Linked DNA regions of Oryctolagus cuniculus. Each later gene encodes a partner of the first gene's protein in a complex. Links are inferred from orthologs where the notes say so. Each region holds a gene or a part of one and is shown on either strand. Other genes may lie near its edges.

Region 1 (6,155 bases):
ATCTGCTGATAGGAAAATATTTAGCTGTATACACCAACCACTGTTGAAAATCTGAAAAAGTATATGCCCAATTTATTGTACCCAAACATATATACTTAGAGTAAATGCTGCGATAGCATTAATTTTTTCTATATTTATAATGAGCTAACACCACTTTTATAATCAGAAAATATAATAAAGCTATTTCCATTTTCACAAAAATTATGTCCTAGAGGTAGAACTGTTGATATGAGAAATGCCATATATAATAGGAAAAGCAGGTTATGAAATAGGACTTTTATTTTTAAAAAAGATTTATTTATTTATTTGAAAGGCAGAGAGATCTTCCATTTACTGGTTCACTCCCCAAATGGCCACAAGAGCCAGGTCTGGGCCAGGTGGAAGCCAGGCACCAAGAACTCCTTCCTGCTCTCCCACATGAGTGGCAGCGAGTCCAAGTACTCGGGGCATCTGCTGCCTTCCATTAGCAGGAGCTGGATGGGAGTGGAGCAGCCAGGACCCAAACTGACACTGCAGAATGGGATGCCAGAGTTGCAAGCAGCAGCTTAGGCCACTGTGTCACAATGCTGGCTCCAGTATTTGACATTTTGCAAAACAAAACAAAAACCTTGTAAAAACTTATTAATTTTATAAGTTATATGTGTAGAGAAAACACCTGGGATCATATACATTAAAGTATTGGCAGTATATACCTCTTGGTGGCAGGGCGATGAGTTTTCTTTTTACTTATTCACATTTTCTATACTATAACAATGTATTAATTAGTTTATTTCCTCTTGAGTTAGAAATGTAGAGGCCAAGACAAATTTATTAAATTTGTGTGGTCAGGCTGGAGCTCTGAAAAGGGGAAGGAACAAAAAGAGACTTACTGCATCTTCTGAATCTCATCTTCATCCACTTTCTGCTTCTTCTCTTTCTTTTCTTTGGTATCGATTTTCAGTTTTTTGGCTGCAGGAGTAAGTAATGACGCGTCTTCCCTTTCACCTGCTGTTAAATCGGAGACGTCCTGACTTTTGAGCTGGGAAGATGAAAAGAACTCTATTATATATTTGTCCTACTTTCCAGGCTTGGCTAAGGTTAAGACATCATCCTCATAACACAACAGATCCACTTATTGTGTAGTTTTTTTGTCCCAGAACTGACTGTTCCACCCAGTATAAGATACAGTATCTCTCCTCAAGGAAGGTTAGTTAGGCTGTAGAAAGAACCAGTTAAATAATCTAGTTTTCCAGTTTAGCTATGATCACAGCTTCAGTGTCTGTATACAAGGATAAAGAAATGGCCAAGATCATGAAAACCACTCTCTCCATGGACTCTCTCTCCTGCTCATTCCTTACAGGGGATGTCACCAAAGCCCTCTCCAGCCAGCCAGCTCTTCTCCTCTGGATCCAAAGATATTTTTACTATTGACGATTCAATTTAGAAAGATTATTAAAAAGGAGGCCCTGGAGTGAAAATCTGAGATGCTGGTTGGGATGTCCATGTCCCCTATTAGAGTGTCTGAGCTGTTTTGGGCATTTGGAGTGTGAATCAGCAGATAGGCCATTTTTTTTTTCTAATAAGTACATTCTTTGAAAATCAAAAATATGTAGGGGCCAATGCTGTGGCATAGTGGGTTAAGCTGCTGTCTGCAGCACTGGCATCTCATATGAGTGCCAGTTCAAGTCCTGGCTGCTCTACTTCTGATCCAGCTCCCTGCTAATGTGCTTGGGAAAGCAGCAGAAGATGGCCCAAAGATGGCCCAAGTCCTTGGGCCCCTGCACCCATGTGGGAGACCTGGAAGAAGCTACTGACTCCTGGCTTCAGCCTGGCCCAGCTCTAGCCACTGTGACCATTTGGGGGAATGAACAGGCAGATGGAAGCTTGCTCACTCCCCACCCCCCACCCCCAACTTTGTGATTCTGACTTAAAGAATATTAATAAATATTTTACATACTTACATGCATTATGTTACATATTTAAAGCTAATCCACAGTGCTGGCCCCAACATAATCAATTTTTATCGAAAGGCAGAGTTACAGAGAGAGGGAGAGACAGAGTTCTTCCATCTGCTAGTTCACTCCCCAATTGGTCACAACCACCAGGGCTGGGCCAGGTGGAAGCCAGAAGTCCTACATGGGTGCAGGTGCTCAACTTGGGCCACCTTCAGCTGCCTTCCCAGGCACATCAGCAAGGGCCTAGACTGGAAGCGGAGCAGCCAGAACTGAACCAGTGCCCATATGGGATTCTGGGGTTGCAGGTAGCTTAACCTGCTGTGCCACAATGCTGGTCTTTGATTAATTTTTTTTTTTTTTTTTTTTTTTTTTTTTTTTTACAGGCAGAGTGGACAGTGAGAGAGAGAGAGACAGAGAGAAAGGTCTTCCTTTGCCGTTGGTTCACCCTCCAATGGCCGCCGCGGCCGGCGCGCTGCAGCCGGCGCACCGCGCTGATCCGATGGCAGGAGCCAGGTGCTTCTCCTGGTCTCCCATGGGGTGCAGGGCCCAAGGACTTGGGCCATCCTCCACTGCACTCCCTGGCCACAGCAGAGGGCTGGCCTGGAAGAGGGGCAACCGGGACAGAATCTGGCGCCCTGACTGGGACTAGAACCCGGTGTGCCGGCGCCGCAAGGCGGAGGATTAGCCTAGTGAGCCGCGGCGCCGGCCTAATTTTTAAAAATGTTTCAAAAGCATCATAATTCTATCCTCTGCTGGCTCCAAACTTCTATATTGTAGTGAGCTCCTTTAGTGGACCATGCTAATTATTCAATTCCTTTGCGTCCTTGAGACCCATTTTAACTTTTCCTTCTTCAGCTTTGTCAACTGTCTTCTCTTTTTCTAAAAGCTTACCGTGTATGTTTTGGTGACAAGGCTATCCATCTAACGTTCAGTCCATGAGCTCTTCAGTTCCTTCTGCCTCTAAGATCCTAGAAATTCTCTCTTTAGAAAAGGAACCCACAGGACGCTGAGATTCTGGTCGCGATTGTTGCGCGGTTAGGCAACCCTGCTGAGCTATCCTGAGAGCACAGCTGATGGATTTGGTGTTTTTACGTTATAGAAACCCCTGGACATTAGCACGGAGGACACTGCAGCAGCTGGATGAGAATATGACTTCAAAGTCTCCCGTTAACAGATCTGATCAACTCTGCCTCCTGTAAAGACGAAAGCTGTACTTAAACAACAATTAACTAAGAGGACCTATAGTGCGGTGAAAGGCGCGCTGGGAATCCTGGATTTTGGCTCTTGCACTAAGTCTCGGGATGACAGTACCGACTTCATCAATAGGAAAACCAAGAAGCTATTTAAAATTCACTTAGATGTAGCTTTAATCCCGAAAGGCAAGGACTAAACATATTAAAACCTAATGCTCGAGTCTCTGGAACCAAACCAGCACCACAGTTTTGTTGCTCCTCCCACACTCCCCGGACGGCAGATCTAGAGGGAATCGTGGCGAGCTCCGGGTAACACAATCCCGGCGTATGCCTCCAACCTCAGTCACACTTCTCTGCCTACCTCGCCTTCCTCCGCTGCCGCTTCTTTCAAGTCCGCGTCTCCGTCTCCGTCCGCTTCCTCCGGGATCCCGTCCGTGTCCGCAGTCCCCGGGCCCCCAGGAGCAGCAGTCGTCTCGTCTGACTCCCCTGCTTCCCCACCTTTGTCCGCAGGAGACTCGCGGGCATTGTCCATCACAGCTAGAACGGCAAGGGGAGGAGATCGCGGTGCTGTCGGCCGCGGAGCTCCGGACCTCGCGCGGCACAGTGGGCGCTTACTTCCTGTCGTCGCACCGCGATGTCGTCACCACTACTGGTCCTCGGAAGGGCCATGGGGGGCGCGCGGAGCACCTGAGGGCTCCGTTTGAATCCTGGGTGGGTGGTGCTGGAGAGAGAACGCTGAGGGTGCAAAGTCCCCTGTGGATCCGTCCTTGGAGACCAGCACCTGTGAAGAAGTGCAGTTGTGCTTCCTGAAGGGTTTCTTTTTCCTTTCCGTCGTTCTAAGAATGCTTTGTCAGTTAACCTCTTCCTCAAAGTTGGAGGACCTGGGAGAAAACTGCTCCTTTTGTACGCGGCTGTCGCGTAACCTTGGGGTAGCAAACTTTCAGGCAGGGACTCAACCTCCTTTATTTCACCTGGACAGACTGCGGGCCTGACTTTACATTGAATTGCCACCATTTCCCCTCTACGAATATTTCACGAGCACCTTAAAAAAAAAAAGTCCTATTGCTTGAGCAGTGTTTATCCAACCCATTCATTCACTCCACGAGTGTTGACTGCCTGTTTCTGAGTCCGGAGCAGCGCTAGTACAGGGAAAAAACATTTTCTACCGAATTAAATGATTTTTCCAGTTCGCCAGTGCTGAAAATCGGGATAGGTTTCTCAAGCCTGACTTCTGTTACCCACTCAGTCTCATCATGAGGAATCCCTACAGGGTGGGAGGTCTCTCCTTTGAGCGCTTCACTTTAATGAGCCATTTCACGGATTGGGATGGTGAAGGGGCTAGGATATTTCTGCTTTTAAAATGTCCTGCCTTTTTTCATTGAGGCACGCGGAGGGAGGGGCAGGGCGTTTTATTCACCTCTGTATTACCAGGCTCCCGCACCTGTTACATACTGCTTTATGCTTAAAGAACGGACTTGGAAATGTAGGTGCGTATTACCATATTTCTCTCTTTGTTTCCACACCGCCGGGACGAATTACCGTATTTCCTGTCCCGTGAGCTCCCAAAACCTTTGGAAAAGAAGCGCACTTTGGAGGCGTACACAGGTGGGTCCCCTTTGTCCCTTTCCACTTCTTCAATGGGTACCCACATGGCACTGCCCCATTGACCCCCAAGTCCTGTCCTGACACACCAAGGTCCACCTGCACAGGGACGCGGAGCCCCGCCCAGCTAGGTGGGCAAGGGGGCGGGGCATGGGGGCGCGGTGACGCGTGACGCCGGATCCCGGAAGTGACGCGCTCGTGGGGAAAAGGCGGGGGGGGAGGGGGGTGGTGTCCCCGGCCGGTTTAGGGGGTGCGTTGCCCGGAGACGGAAAGTTTGGGAGCCGAGCCGGCTCCACGGTGGCCCCGGGGTGGGGGGTCCTGGGGTGGCGGCCCTGGGGATGGGGAAGGAGCAGGAGCTGCTGGAGGCGGCCCGCACCGGGCACCTCCCGGCCGTGGAGAAGCTGCTGTCCGGGAAGCGGCTCTCCTCAGGCTTCGGGGGTGGCGGCGGCGGCTCCTCTGGGGGCAGTGGCGGCGGCGGCGGCGGCGGCGGCGGCCTCGGCTCTTCCAGCCACCCTCTCTCCAGTCTGCTCAGGTGGGTACGCGCCGGGGCCCGGCAGCCGCCTGGAGACCCCCCCCCCGCCCGCCCGTACGTCTTTTAGGTCCCTGGAGAGGTCGGGCTCCCGAGACCCGGCGGGGTGGGCTCGCGGCGTACTCGGGGAGCGAGGGCAGGCGGCCGGCGGGACAGGAAGCCGGAGGGGGCGCGGGTCCGAGTTGGCGCGGCGCTCCGCTCTCCTTGTCTCTCGGTCCTGACCCGGGTGCGAAGAATGGTGGGAGTGCCCAGGTGGCCGCTCCGCCGCATGGCACAGCCCGGCGTCACCCTCGCCCGCTGTGGGATGCCAGCTGTCGTTGCTTCACAAAAGCCACTTGAGAGCAAATGATCTGTGTGTGTGTATGGGACCTCCCTCACCTCCTGCAGAAGCTCCCACGGCTTGCAGAATGCCGCGGCTCTGCTGGAGGGGATTCCCTTCCCGCAGGAGCCTGCAGCCTTCCGCCAGGCTGTGCAGAACCTGGCTTCTGTTTATATCAGAATTGTCTCTGGATCGGTCACGTTCGGAGAGTTCGTCTTGGAGCCCCTCTCGTGCTTGAGGCTCGAATTGTGGTTCCTTGTAATGAGCCTCCTTGCAGGGTTCTTCTGGGGTCTGTTCATCAAGAAGTGAAAGTTTAGGAAGACTTGGTTGGGAAATGGAGGGGCGCTTTAAAATTTTCTGGGGTCTGTTGTTGGACACTTGAATCCGAAGCTGTGAGGTTCGAGAGGGGAAAATGAGTTCTGTGTCGCTTGGAAGGGGGATTGGAGATGCTTTGTCATTGAGTAAAATATGTTGGTTCAGCAGCACTTTCATAGCCTGTTTTCCTTCCTTGTTCTTTTGAGGTTTTTAAGAAGTGGAAGTTCATTTAGAAATGGCTTCGTTAGCTTCTGTTCCCCATT
Region 2 (6,071 bases), on another chromosome or scaffold:
GAGAGACAAAGTGCTGGTTCACCCTCTAAATAGCCACAACAACCAGAGCTGAGTCATTCTGAGGCCATGAGCCAGGAGCTTCTTCTGGGTCTCCCACACCGGTGCAGGACCCAAACACTTGGGCCCTACGTCATTGCCTTTCCAAGCTGTAAGCAGAGAGCTGGATTGGAAAAGGAGCAGCTGGACATGAACCAGCGCCCATATGGGATTCTGGTGCCACAGACGGAGGCTTAGCCTACTGGCTAAGTGCCTGCCCAATCAAATTAAATCTTAAAAAAAAAAAAAAAATACAAGGTTGGTTCTGGTGCTGTGGCATAGTGGGTAAAGTTACCTCCTTGCAGTGCAGGCATCTCATATAGGCTCCCAGTTGCTGCACTTCCGAACCAACTCCTTGCTAATGTGCCTGGGAAAACAGCAGATGGCCCAAGTGCTTGGGCCCCTGCACCCATTTGGGAGATCCAGAAGCAGCTCCTGGCTCCTGGCTTCAGATTGGCTCAGCTCCTGCCATTGCGGCCATTTGGGGAAACCTCTCTCTCTCTTTCTCTGCCTTTCAAATAAATAAATAAATCTTTAAAAAATACAATGTGGCAAAATGCTGAAAATTGTTAAATCCTGAAACTAAAATGAGAACTTATCAAAAAATGCCCAAATAAGAAATAAATATAAAAGAATCTATTAATATGTTTTTTTTATTTTTTTTATTTTATTTATTTATTTTTTTGACAGGCAGAGTGGACAGTGAGAGAGAGAGACAGAGAGAAAGGTCTTCCTTTGCCGTTGGTTCACCCTCCAATGGCCGCCGCGGCCGGCGCGCTGCGACCGGCGCACCGCACCGGTCCGATGGCAGGAGCCAGGAGCCAGGTGCTTTTCCTGGTCTCCCATGGGGTGCAGGGCCCAAGCACCTGGGCCATCCTCCACTGCACTCCCTGGCCACAGCAGAGAGCTGGCCTGGAAGAGGGGCAACCGGGACAGAATCCGGCGCCCCGACCGGGACTAGAACCCGGTGTGCCGGCGCCGCAAGGCGGAGGATTAGCCTAGTGAGCCGCGGCGCCGGCCTATTAATATGTTTTTAACACGTAAATTCTCAGGCATGACAACACAGGAGGTATAATAACAATGTGGTTGCTTGTACCTAGATGTAAATTTACCTCGAATGTAGGAACTACAAATGTAGGCAGATTCCAGGTGAGCACTATTTAAATTACAAGCGATATTGCCTTTGGTGGCAGTATTTCCTCTTAATAAGTTCCAAACAAAGCAAAATGCAACAGATCACCAATTTTGAAGAAGTAACAGTCACAGGAAATCCAATGTTCATTAAAAGCATGGGAAAAATAGTTTATATAAAATAATATTTTCAGTCATTGAATGTTCAGCAGGACATAGAGAAATCGTGTGTATTATTGGACTTTTTTATCGTGTGGCATCATCCCTTAGGTTGCAGGATATTTTATGTCAACTCCAGCCTCTTACTGCGTGTTCTCATTGTTAAAACCCAAATTCTTCTCCAGAAAATTTTAAATCGTCTCTAAGGATAGCGCCCCCTTGAGAACTAGTAGTGAAATATAGTACCCCACAATAATTAACAAAGTGCTTGGGATCAATAGTGCAGGCGTAACTCATTGCACTTTAAAATACACCCCTCAGAGCAAGACCGCGGGATCGCCCTCCTACGCTCCAGGTCAGGAAAGGTGGATTCAACACGCACAAGGAGATGTAGGGTGATAAGAGGATACACACTGCCTGGTGCATTTCTTTCAGTTTGCTAAATTTTAGTTCCTTCCTCGGGATTACAGAACCCAGAGCTCACGCTGCTACCCTACAGACCGTCTCTCTCAGCGGTCGCTAGGCAGCTCCCCCTCCCAGGCGTGTTTGCGGGGACCCGGCCCCGCCCCCTACGTCACCGGAAGTGACGCAACGGAAGTAGTAAAAACCCGCTGAGAGCGAGCCGGCGCGGCACAGTAGGTTGTCGGGCTAGTGTAATGGCAGATGAGGAAGAAGATCCCACCGTGAGTGACCGCCTTTGTCCCAATCCTCCCTTTCGCTCAGGCTTAGTGACGGAAGCAGAGTTCAGAATGGGGTGTTTTCCTTAGTGAATTCAGTCGAGAGAGTTCGGGGACCAGTTGTGCTTGTCTTTTCCTTCAGCTTCATGGTTTTAGTACTCCGGGGCAGGACGTGAAGTAGTGGGAAGGTAGCCCCTTTCCCTTCGGATTCGGGCTGAATCTGCTAGACACTTTGTGAAACTAGACGATCGTCAGAGCTAATCACTCGTATTTGTTGGTGCTCGTTAAATGAACCAACAATCTAGCTGCTAACAGAATTGGATATTTATTGTGAAGTGTTGGAGAAATAACGGACCACAAATCAGAAGCCTGGATTTCAAAATCTCCATTCTCACCGAACAAGTTATTTAACTTTCAGCATCGGTTGTTCTTGATATAAAATAAGGTTAAAACAGATAAGGAAAGGTTTTAGCACTGTATAAGCAGGTGCTTAGTTAAAATTTTTCCTTTTTTGCTGCAGGGAGGTAGGCTTTGATTCAGTATCGGTCCTTGAATGGCAACACTGGCTAGCAGTAGACCAACTTAGTTGGTTTTAAACAAAAAGAACTTGCGGCTGTTAAAAGGCTTACGTGTCTAGGCAGGATTGTTGTGGACAGTGTAGAAACCATTTTTGCGGGAATTGAAATTTTGACTAGGTAGTCTCTAAGGGCTCTTTAGTGCTAAGTTATCATGATTTTTTAGTGCTTGCTTTTAAGCGTTTTGGCCTGATATTAGTGTTAAAAATGAAAGCAAGTTATTAAAATATCAAATGCAATGCAATCACTTGACATTTCTATATATACATTTTAACTTCTAGTTTGAGGAAGAAAATGAAGAAATTGGAGGAGGTGCAGAAGGTGGACAGGGTAAAAGAAAGAGACTCTTTTCTAAAGAATGTAAGTAGTATTTGACAGTGATTTTATTATAGATCATGCAAACTTTTGGACATGTCCTTTGGAATAGATTTATATTCTGAAAATGTTTGCAAGGATAATATTCTCAAAATTGCCAGTAAAGTTCAATTTAATTTTTGCCTTTTTTTAAAAGATTTATTTTTATTTTATTTGAAAGAGTTACAGAGTGAGGCAGAGTCAGAGAGAGAGGTAGGTCTTCCATCCTGTGGTTCACTCCCCAGATGGCCGCAATGGCTGGAGCTGTGCCGATCCGAAGCCAGGAGCCAGGAGCTTCTTCCATGCGGGTGCAGGGGCCCAAGGACTTGTGCCATCTTCTACTACTTTCCCAGGCCATAGCAGAGAGCTGGATCGGAAGAGGAGCAGCCAGGACTAGAACCGGTGCCCATATGGGATGCCAGCGCTTCAGGCCTGAGCTTTAACCTGCTGCGCCACAGCACCAGCCCCTCAGTTTAATTTTTGAATCACAGATACTAACCCCAGTTTAACGTATAATTGTGTTTTAAATTGTACAGAATTTAAGTGAGGGAATATTGTTATGTCTTTCTGTTAGGCTGTCACAAAAACACACCAAACTCCGGAGTAAGGGAAAGGGTTTATTGAGAAAAGCCAGCAGACCGGAAGGGTGAGGTGATGAAGGGAAAAAGGGAGAGGAGAGTATAAGAGAAAGAGACACGGAGAGTAGAGGAGCTAGTGAGGAGAGAAGAGAGACGAGAGGAGCCAAGAGAACAGGAGAGAAGAGCCAAGAGTGCCGCCTGTTCAGGAACAGGCCCTTTTAAACTTTGCCAGAGGGCGGGCAGGGAAACAGGAGCAGCGAATCCCGTTAGGATGGGGGTGGAGCTTGACACTGGTGGTTGGGCCATGTGGCTACATGGCTTTCAGCAATGGCTGTGAGAACCGGGGCATAGGATGTAAATCATGGTGTAGATAGCGCCATGGATAAAACTGCACCAGTTTCCTAACAAATATGATCAGTGTTTCAATTCAGGACAAAACAATATACCTCCACGTTTTCCTGGCCCTTACCTTTGCAACAGTAGAAGCAGGAGTTCTTTTGACTGTGGGCACTGAAACAGGTGCTGAGGGTAGGGGCTAAGTTGAGACTTTGGACTAAGGGCAGTGAACAGGGCAGGAAGGTGAGGAACAATGTGAGACATACAATGGCATGAAGATAATATAATGTGTTAGTGCTTTGTCCCACTCCCTCAGTAGACAGATTTTACCCTTTTTAGACAGCAGCATGAAGAAAGGAGATCTGTTCCTACTGCTGATAGTCCAGGACAACATTTAAAAGTCATCATGAGAATAGCTTTTTATCTCCCAGTACGGATTCCTTTATATCTATATAGCTGGGTATTGAGAGATGAGACAACACAGATTTAAGAATACCTGTTTATTAAGGTTGGGACAGATACGAGCAGTTTACATGTGATGTTAAAACTGCACATCAGTATGTCTTTTTTATTTGAAATTTATTTGAAAGGCAGAGTGACAGAAAAAGACAGAGATCTTCCATCTGATGGTTCGCTCATGCCCACAACAGCTGAGGCTTGGCTAGGCCAGGCGGATGCCAGTTGCCCAGAATGCCATTTGGGTCTCTTACATGGGTGGCAGTGGCCACAGTACCTGAGCCATCACCTGCTGCCTTCCAGAATCACAGCAGCAGGAAGCTGGATTCGAAGTAGAGTAGATGGGAGTCAAACAAGCACTCTGATGTGGAATGTCAGCCAAGGGTTGTGGGTGTCCCAAACTGGGCCCAACCTGCCACGCCACAATACCCACACCATGTTTTTTTTTTTTTTTTTTAACATTTATTTGAAATGCTGGGTTAGAGAGAGAGAGAATCTTCCATCCACTGGTTAACTCCCCAAATGGCCAGAACAGCTGGAACTGGCAGGTCTGAAGCCAGGAGCCTAGAAATTCTTTTGGGTCTCCCACATGGTTGTGGGGGCCCAAGCATTTGGATCGTCTTTCTTTACTTTCCCAGGTCATTAGCAGGGAGCTGGATTGGAAGTGGAGCAACCGAGTCTCGAACTGGTGCCCATATGGGATGGTGGCACTGCAAGCAGTGGTTTAACCTACTGTGCCATAGTGCCAGTCTACCGCCATATTTCTTTTTAATTGTAACCTTTTTCTGTATCTCACCTAAAGCTGAACATTGCTTATCCCATCTCTCTGATAATATTTATTACATTTGTATTACATTTTACTTACTTTACCAACGTAAGAAAGAGATCACTACTCCAGAGTATCTCGAAGTGATGCTTGCACAGTTGGTTATTAGCAAAGACCTTTGTTATACTTGGATTACTTTATCTTTATGATGACAAGAATTTGGAATTTTCATACTCTTCTCCATGTCTTATGAGTCTTCATATATCTTACTGAGATCTGTTTGCCACCAGAGGTGGGAAATGTCCAGGTGTGTGACATCTTTTGGTGTGGCCTGGCCAAGACAACCACAGGCAGGACTCAAAATTCAATCTACCTATATATAAAGATTCAGCAAATTGTAGCAGGCTAATTTCTAAGTTGATAGTTTTTATGGCCTGCAAATGATGTTATAAATATCCAAATGGCTCTTCACAGAGAAAAGATTCCGCACTCCTCTTTTTAAAGAAAATAATTTTTAAAGTGAGATTTATTTACTTATTTATTTGAAAGTCAGAATGACAAAGAGAGAAAGAACCAGCATCTGCTGGTTCACTCTTCAAATGGCAGCAACAGACAGGTCTGCCCCAGACCAAATCCAGGAGCCACGAATTCCATCCTGGTGTCCCACGTGGTTGGCAGGAACCCAAGTATATGGGCCATCTTTGCTGTCTTCCCATGTGCATTAGCAGGATGCTGGATTGGAAGTGAAATAGCCGGGACTCAAACCAGCACCCTGATCTAGGATGCTGGCATTACAAGTGGTGCCTTAACCCACTGTACCACATACTGATCCCAGGAAAAAAAGATTATTTTTAATTTATTTTTCATTTTTATTTGAAAGGCAGAGAGATAGAGATCATCAGTCAGCTTAAACACTGTCCAAATGCCTGCAACAGCTAGGGTGGGCTGGAAGCTTGGAATTTTATCCTGGTCTCCTGTCTGGTTGTCATGTACTCCAGTACTT
Region 3 (6,053 bases), about 6.7 Mb from region 1:
GTACAATTTCTGTATGTAGGTTTCACATACAGTGAAAGTTCTGGAAGTTCTGGAAATGGATAGTGCTGACGGTTGCCCAACACCATGAATATACTAAGTCCATGGAATTGTACATTTAAAAATGGAAGGAGGGATTCATTTTGTTATGCAGAGCTTACTCCCCTCTAAAGATCTTATACTACGGGGGCCACTTTTTGTTTCTTCTGCTGAAAGCGGAACCTCTAGTTCACAGTCATGCTGAAGTCCTCCGGGGCACGGTGGAAGGTGCCTAAGACACAGCTTAGGGAGTTGGGCCGCGTGGATGGGCTTTGGAGGTGGCTGGGAAGTGCCATGAACATCCTGACTCAGGATGAATTCATTTATTTTTTTAAAGGTTTTATTTAATTATTTGAAAGGCAGAGTTACAGAGAGAGAGAGGGAAAAGAGAGAGGGAGAGAGTGAGAGAAAGAGAGGGAGAGAAATTTAACCACTGGTTCACTCCCCAGATGGGCACAATGGCCGGGGCCGGCTCATGGCCAAAGCTAGGAGCCAGGAGCTTCTTCCAGGTCTCCCACGTAGGCGAAAGGGCTGAAGCACTTGGGCCACCCTCCGCTGCTTTCCCAGGTGCATTAGTGGAGAGCTGGATCAGAAGTGGAGCAGCCAGGAATTGAACATGTACCCAAATGGGATACCAGCACTGCAGGCAGCCTACCCAGCTATGCCACAGCACTGGCCCCACAGCGCTGAATTCAATGCACAGGAAAAGTCTCTCTCTGGGGACGAGCGCACAGGTTTCATTCAGAGAAGAAATGGATCCCAAAAGATAAGGAGACCCTGTCCCAGGGACCCAGCTGCTCATAAGATAAAAGCATTAGAAGCACAAAGTCTACCTGAAACCTATCCCAACTGCTGCCGCCTGAGCCAGTCACTGACACCAGTCTCTAGACAGAACCTTCACACTCTCAATTCCAAGATCTTCTCAAGAACGGAATTCTTTTTTTGGTTGGGAATTATTAGTTCATTTTTGGGGGCCAAAGTTGTCAAAGTGCAGTCCGGAAACCCCTGGCAGTCTCCCAAATCTTTTCCAGAGTCTACAGGTCAAAATGGTTACTTTTTAAAAGATTTATTTATTTAGTTGAAAGTCAGAGTTACAGAGAGAGAGAAAGTGAGGCAGAGAGAGAGAGAGAGAGAGAGAGATCGATCTTCCATCTGCTGGTTCACTCTCCAGATGGCTGCAATGGCTGGAGCTGTGCCAATCTGAAGCCAGGAGCTTCTTCCAGGTCTCCCACATGGGTTCAGGGGCCCAAGGACTTGGGCCATCTTCTACTGCTTCCCCAGGCCAGGCAGAGAGCTGGATTGGAAGTGGAGCAGGCGGGACTTCAACCAGCGCCCATATGGAATGCTGCATTGTAGGCGGTGGTTTTACCCGCTATGCCACAGCACCAGCCCCTACAAGTCAAAATTATTTTCTTAACAAAATTAAGTCATTATTTGACTTTTTTACTGTCATTCTCTCATGTACTTTTCCAGGGTTATATGACTTCGGATGACATCACCACTCTGATGAATAACGGAATGTGTGACTGTATATCCTTACATTTTAGAATTTTATTTTCAAATCTGGCAAATATAGGCACATGCTATATATACCTAAGTATTATGCATATGTATAGCATATGTATAACATATTTTGTACACATATAAAAGCTCTTGGGGATCCTCAATATTTGAGTCTGAAAGTGGTTCTGAGACCAAGAAGTGTGAGGTCACAGGTTTAGGAAAACATCTGGTATTAGAAGTTCAAGGGGCAGGCGTGTGGCACAGTGGTTAAGATGCCAGTTGGGATGCCCACAAGCACACACTGGAGTGCCGGGGTTCCAAGTCCTGGCTCTGCTCCCAGTTTCAGCCTCCTGCCAACACACACTCTGGGAGGCGGCGAGTGAGGGCTCTGGAACTCGGCTCACTGCCACTCATGCGAAAGGCCTGGGCGGAGTCCCTGGCTCCTGGGTTCAGCCTGGCCCAGCCCTGGCAGTGGTGGGCATTTGGAGAGTGAACCAGCAGTTGAGAGATCTCTGTCTGTCTCCCTCTCTGCCTTTTAAATAAATAAATATATTTAAAAGTAATATTAAAAAAAAGTTTCTAAAATCAGCTGCAGAAAGTGGCTCCACCCAGGGTCACACCCTACTCAGGGCAGCACACATCTGGGTCTGATCGAGACCTGGGCACAAAGGCGGGGCCTTTTCTCCTTGGCAGACGACAGCCGCTCCAAGGACGCCCACCTGTTGGCCAGCTCTTTGTTGGGTCTGCACTGCACTTCAGTTCTTCTACTTCTTTTCACAGGTGCTGGTCCCTAAGAAATACTGTAGGAATCCCCCAACACCCCTTGTCCAATTCTAGCCCCTAAGAAATTTTAAACAGGCCACAACAGGCTCCTAAGGCTCAGCAATCCCTTAAAAGTTGTTTTTCAGGGCCAGAGTGCTGTGGCGTAGCGGGTAAAGCCGCTGCCTGTAGTGCCGGCGTCCCATATGCGCACCAGTTTGAGTCTCAGCTGCTCCACTTCCAATCCAGCTCTCAGTTATGATCTGGGAAAGCAGAAGATGGCCCAAGTCCCTGGGCCCCTGCACCTGCATGGGAGACCTGGAAGAAGCTCCTGGCTCCTGGCTTCGTATCAGCCCAGCTCTGGCCATTGCAGACATCTGGAGAGTGAACCAGCAGATGGAAGACCTCTCTCTCTGCCTCTGCCTCTCTGTAACTCTGCCATGCAAATAAATAAATAAATCTTTTTTTTTCTTAATAAAAAGTTGTTTTTCCCTATTCTAGTCAACATACCCTCATTCTATCACATAATACAGCACCTCCTTACTAATGTACTAGCATCTATTCCAGGGCGTTAGTCCTGACACTCCCCCCACCCCACGAAGGTGTGAGTCCTCCCAGAAGAGAGAGCAAAACAGCAATAATGAGGGCTCCAAGTCCTCGACAGCGTGCAGCCCCCCAGCTTTGACTGCCGTACTCACAACCCCGCGCGCCTCAATTACTACCCCACTCCACAAAGGAGGGCGTTGAGGTTCAAGAGGGTGAGCGAGCTGCTGGCGCTACGCAGTGGCAGGGGGACGATTTCCAGCCCGGGCTGCGTGGCTGGAAAGCCTGAAGTCTCTCCCCTCCGCCGCCGTCACAACGCAGGGCGCAGAAGGGACGGGGCCCGCCGCTGCCCGGTACTCACAGCTCTGCAGCATCTCCGTCAGGGTTTCCACGGACGCCTTCTCTGCGCTCTCAAACCCGGCCTCCGTCAGCAGAGAGCTCACGACCACCTGCAGGGTTCTCCTCCGGGCCAGGTGGTAGTTGTCGGCAGGGTTGGTGGACTGTTTGCTCCCCGACCTCTGGGAACCGGCAGGGAGAGCAGTGTCACCCCCGGGACAAGAGGGCAGCGAGCAGTCCCCGGATCGTTCACGGCAAGCGCGCGTCCCGTGCTAAACACCAGCGCTGCGACCTGCAAATCTTGGCCGACCGAGCGAAAACCGAGCCGGAGGGCCCCTCCCAGAGACCATCGGCATCCCCCAAACCTAAGGCGCTATAATGCAAAATGGCTGGGGTTTCCTGTTCTGTGTGTTTCTTGTTTTTCCCACACTCTCTACTCCCGCACATTATCAGCACAGCGGAAGAAACACTCGTGACGGGACTCAATTAAACCTAGCTCCCGGGAGAAAAGTAAACGGGGTCTCTATCGTTCGTCATCCCACTTCCACACCGTTTCATTAGCAAGGAGAATTAAAGCAATAACATCACACGGAGCCGAGGAGAGGGCGAAAGACCACAGCACGCCTTGGTAGGGAAGCTCAATATTTTGAAGCAGGAATCCCGCCCAGCTCTGCCTGGCCAATGAAGAGGCGAAACAGTCCTCTCTGGACCAATCAGGAGATGTTCCGGGTTCCCAACCGAGCAAACCAATCAGGACACAGGTTCACCAACTCAGGAGGCCGCCGCCAAGTCCCTCAGAGGGGTGGGCGCGCACAGCCTGAGGGGCCCTCCTCCGGTCGCAGCCCACGCTGGGGCGGGATAGCTGGGCATAAGCCTGCTGCCCAGGCCAGGGGAAAGTTGCAGAGTACCCCAACTCTCTCAGCGCCGGGCCCGCGCTTCTACCCCTTACCGTTCCGGAGCCGCCAGCCCCGGCAGCGGCCGCCGTGTCGGCCATCTTGCCCTGGCGTAACGTGCGTGAGCGCGGGGCGCGATGGGACTTGTAGTCACGGGGCGGGGGTGGGCGGGGCGCGCGCACGCTCCTCCCGGTTTTCCGAAGCCTCGCTGGGTGGGGGTGCGCACGTGACCATTTGTATGCGAAGTGTGTGGGCTTGGGGGGGGGGTGCGAAAATGCTATCTTGGTTTACGCGAATTAAAATAAGCCTGTTTTAATAGTGAATCGTTTCTGATGAGGAAGGATCCAGGAGGTAGTCTACACTGGCAGGGTTTCTCCAAACGTCTCTGGTTATTAGCCACACCTGGCTGGGCCCAGCGCGGTCCTAGTGACCCCACCGTGGGAAAGGGGCTTGGGGATTTGGTTACCAAGCTCCCTGGGTCCTCTTGGGAAACCCTGGGGCATCTGATCTCGTGATTTTGTGCGGCCGTCCGTGGACCCCTTGGGGATGGGCGTGCCTGCTCCGGGCCTGCCTCAGTCCTCGAGCGTCGCGTCCGCGTGGCCGCCGAGGGTCTTGGGGGGGGGGTGTGTGTCGAGGGTCCACGCCGCGCCTGCGCCTTGGCAGGGCACGGACGCTGGGCTTGGGTCCCAGCCCTCGGCGGCTGCAGGAGTTTGGGCACAATACCTAACCGCTCTGTGCGTCAGTCTCCTTTTCTGTGAATCTGGGGGTGGAGGGGTGCTGACGGCCGAGGGGACAACCAGGTAACGACGGCAGGGGACTGTCCCGGTGCCCGACGTGCAGCCAGTTGCCCCACTGTGTGGTGGGCTTCCTGGGTCGCGCGCGCTGGCGGGCCCCGCTAGGCGCCTGCTGGCCGTGCGCACCTGAGCCCGCCGGGGCCCCGTCCCCTACCTAGGGCGCGCGGGGCGGGGCCGGCGGGGGTCGGCACCCGGGCTGCGCGGAGCCGCGCCCCAGCCCCTTTGTCTCCCCCGCCCCCTCTTCCCCACTTCCTGCCCAGCTTCAAACTCGGGATCCGCCGACTTTGTAAACACGCCGCGGTCGCGGGGGCGGAGCCTGGGTCTGTTTGGGCGCCTGGGGACGGGGTGCGCTGCCTCGCCGCGGCTGCGGGCTGCGACCACCCCCACCCCAGCCCCCCGCCACTTCCCGAAGACCGAGGCCAGAGGCGGCGGGGGAGCGCGTGTGCGGCCACCCCGGGTGCTCCGCGGGACTCACCTGCCCACGAGGTAGGCTTGGGGGCTGGCGCAGCGGGGAGAGGCGATGTGGGCATCACCCCCTGGCCCTGGGGCTTCGCGGTTCACGCTAGATATCCTGAGCGGCCGGGGGGGGGGGTCGCCAGAGGTTGGGTTGGGGGTCTCCGCGCCGTCAGCACCTCCCTGGCGGCCCCTCAGCCGGGCCCCTTTGCGCTCCCAGGACGCGCGCGCCGCTTCGCGTGTACTCGAAGGGCGGAGAAGCCCTTGCGCCTCTGCGCTCACCGCCGCCCCCTTAAGCGGACCTGGGAGCGAGGGCGCTTCCCTGGGCTGTTCCCGTTCTTCCTACCCCAGAGCGGGGCGCGAGAGACCGAGGCCGGGGGAGGCCACTGTTTGTCCCGCCGTCGCCTCTGATGGGTGCACAGGGGAGAGTTTGCGCGTCGGCGGTGTGTCTGAGTGTTAACCCGAGGAGTCACCGCAGAAGCCGGTGTAAGGCAGGGGGCACGGAGGGGCCGAGCGTGGGCCGTGCGCCGGCTCTGTGTGGGGTGCCGAGAGTGCGGGAGTGCGCATCCACAGCCACAGCACAGCCCGGGGACGTGCCCAGGGCGGCGCGAAGCGTCAGGGAGAAAGGGAGCTTTGAGCTGGATTCGGAAGGAAGGATGGACAGATCGCTGGGTAGGGACGTTAGTGGGAAGACTGGGGGCACTGCTCATCCCACAGAACTGGACTGCACTCCGCT

The links.
Region 2: TAF11 (region 1) and TAF13 share a complex: the UniProt entries of both Homo sapiens proteins name them as parts of the TFIID basal transcription factor complex. The link is inferred for Oryctolagus cuniculus from reciprocal best matches to the Homo sapiens genes TAF11 and TAF13.
Region 3: TAF11 (region 1) and TAF8 share a complex: the UniProt entries of both Homo sapiens proteins name them as parts of the TFIID basal transcription factor complex. The link is inferred for Oryctolagus cuniculus from reciprocal best matches to the Homo sapiens genes TAF11 and TAF8.

Annotation. Positions count from the first base shown.
Region 1 is NC_091436.1:134,548,596-134,554,750, reverse strand, and holds the start of TAF11 (transcription initiation factor TFIID subunit 11), read right to left. Parts: upstream 3,769-6,155; 5' UTR 3,660-3,768; coding exon 3,489-3,659; intron 1,019-3,488; coding exon 870-1,018; intron 1-869. Other genes in the region: ANKS1A (ankyrin repeat and SAM domain-containing protein 1A), read left to right, coding at 5,068-5,261. UniProt on the Homo sapiens protein: The TFIID basal transcription factor complex plays a major role in the initiation of RNA polymerase II (Pol II)-dependent transcription.
Region 2 is NC_091438.1:61,355,016-61,361,086, forward strand, and holds the start of TAF13 (transcription initiation factor TFIID subunit 13), read left to right. Parts: upstream 1-1,882; 5' UTR 1,883-1,982; coding exon 1,983-2,009; intron 2,010-2,859; coding exon 2,860-2,938; intron 2,939-6,071. UniProt on the Homo sapiens protein: The TFIID basal transcription factor complex plays a major role in the initiation of RNA polymerase II (Pol II)-dependent transcription.
Region 3 is NC_091436.1:127,866,568-127,872,620, forward strand, and holds the start of TAF8 (transcription initiation factor TFIID subunit 8), read right to left. Parts: upstream 4,190-6,053; 5' UTR 4,172-4,189; coding exon 4,127-4,171; intron 3,360-4,126; coding exon 3,203-3,359; intron 1-3,202. UniProt on the Homo sapiens protein: The TFIID basal transcription factor complex plays a major role in the initiation of RNA polymerase II (Pol II)-dependent transcription.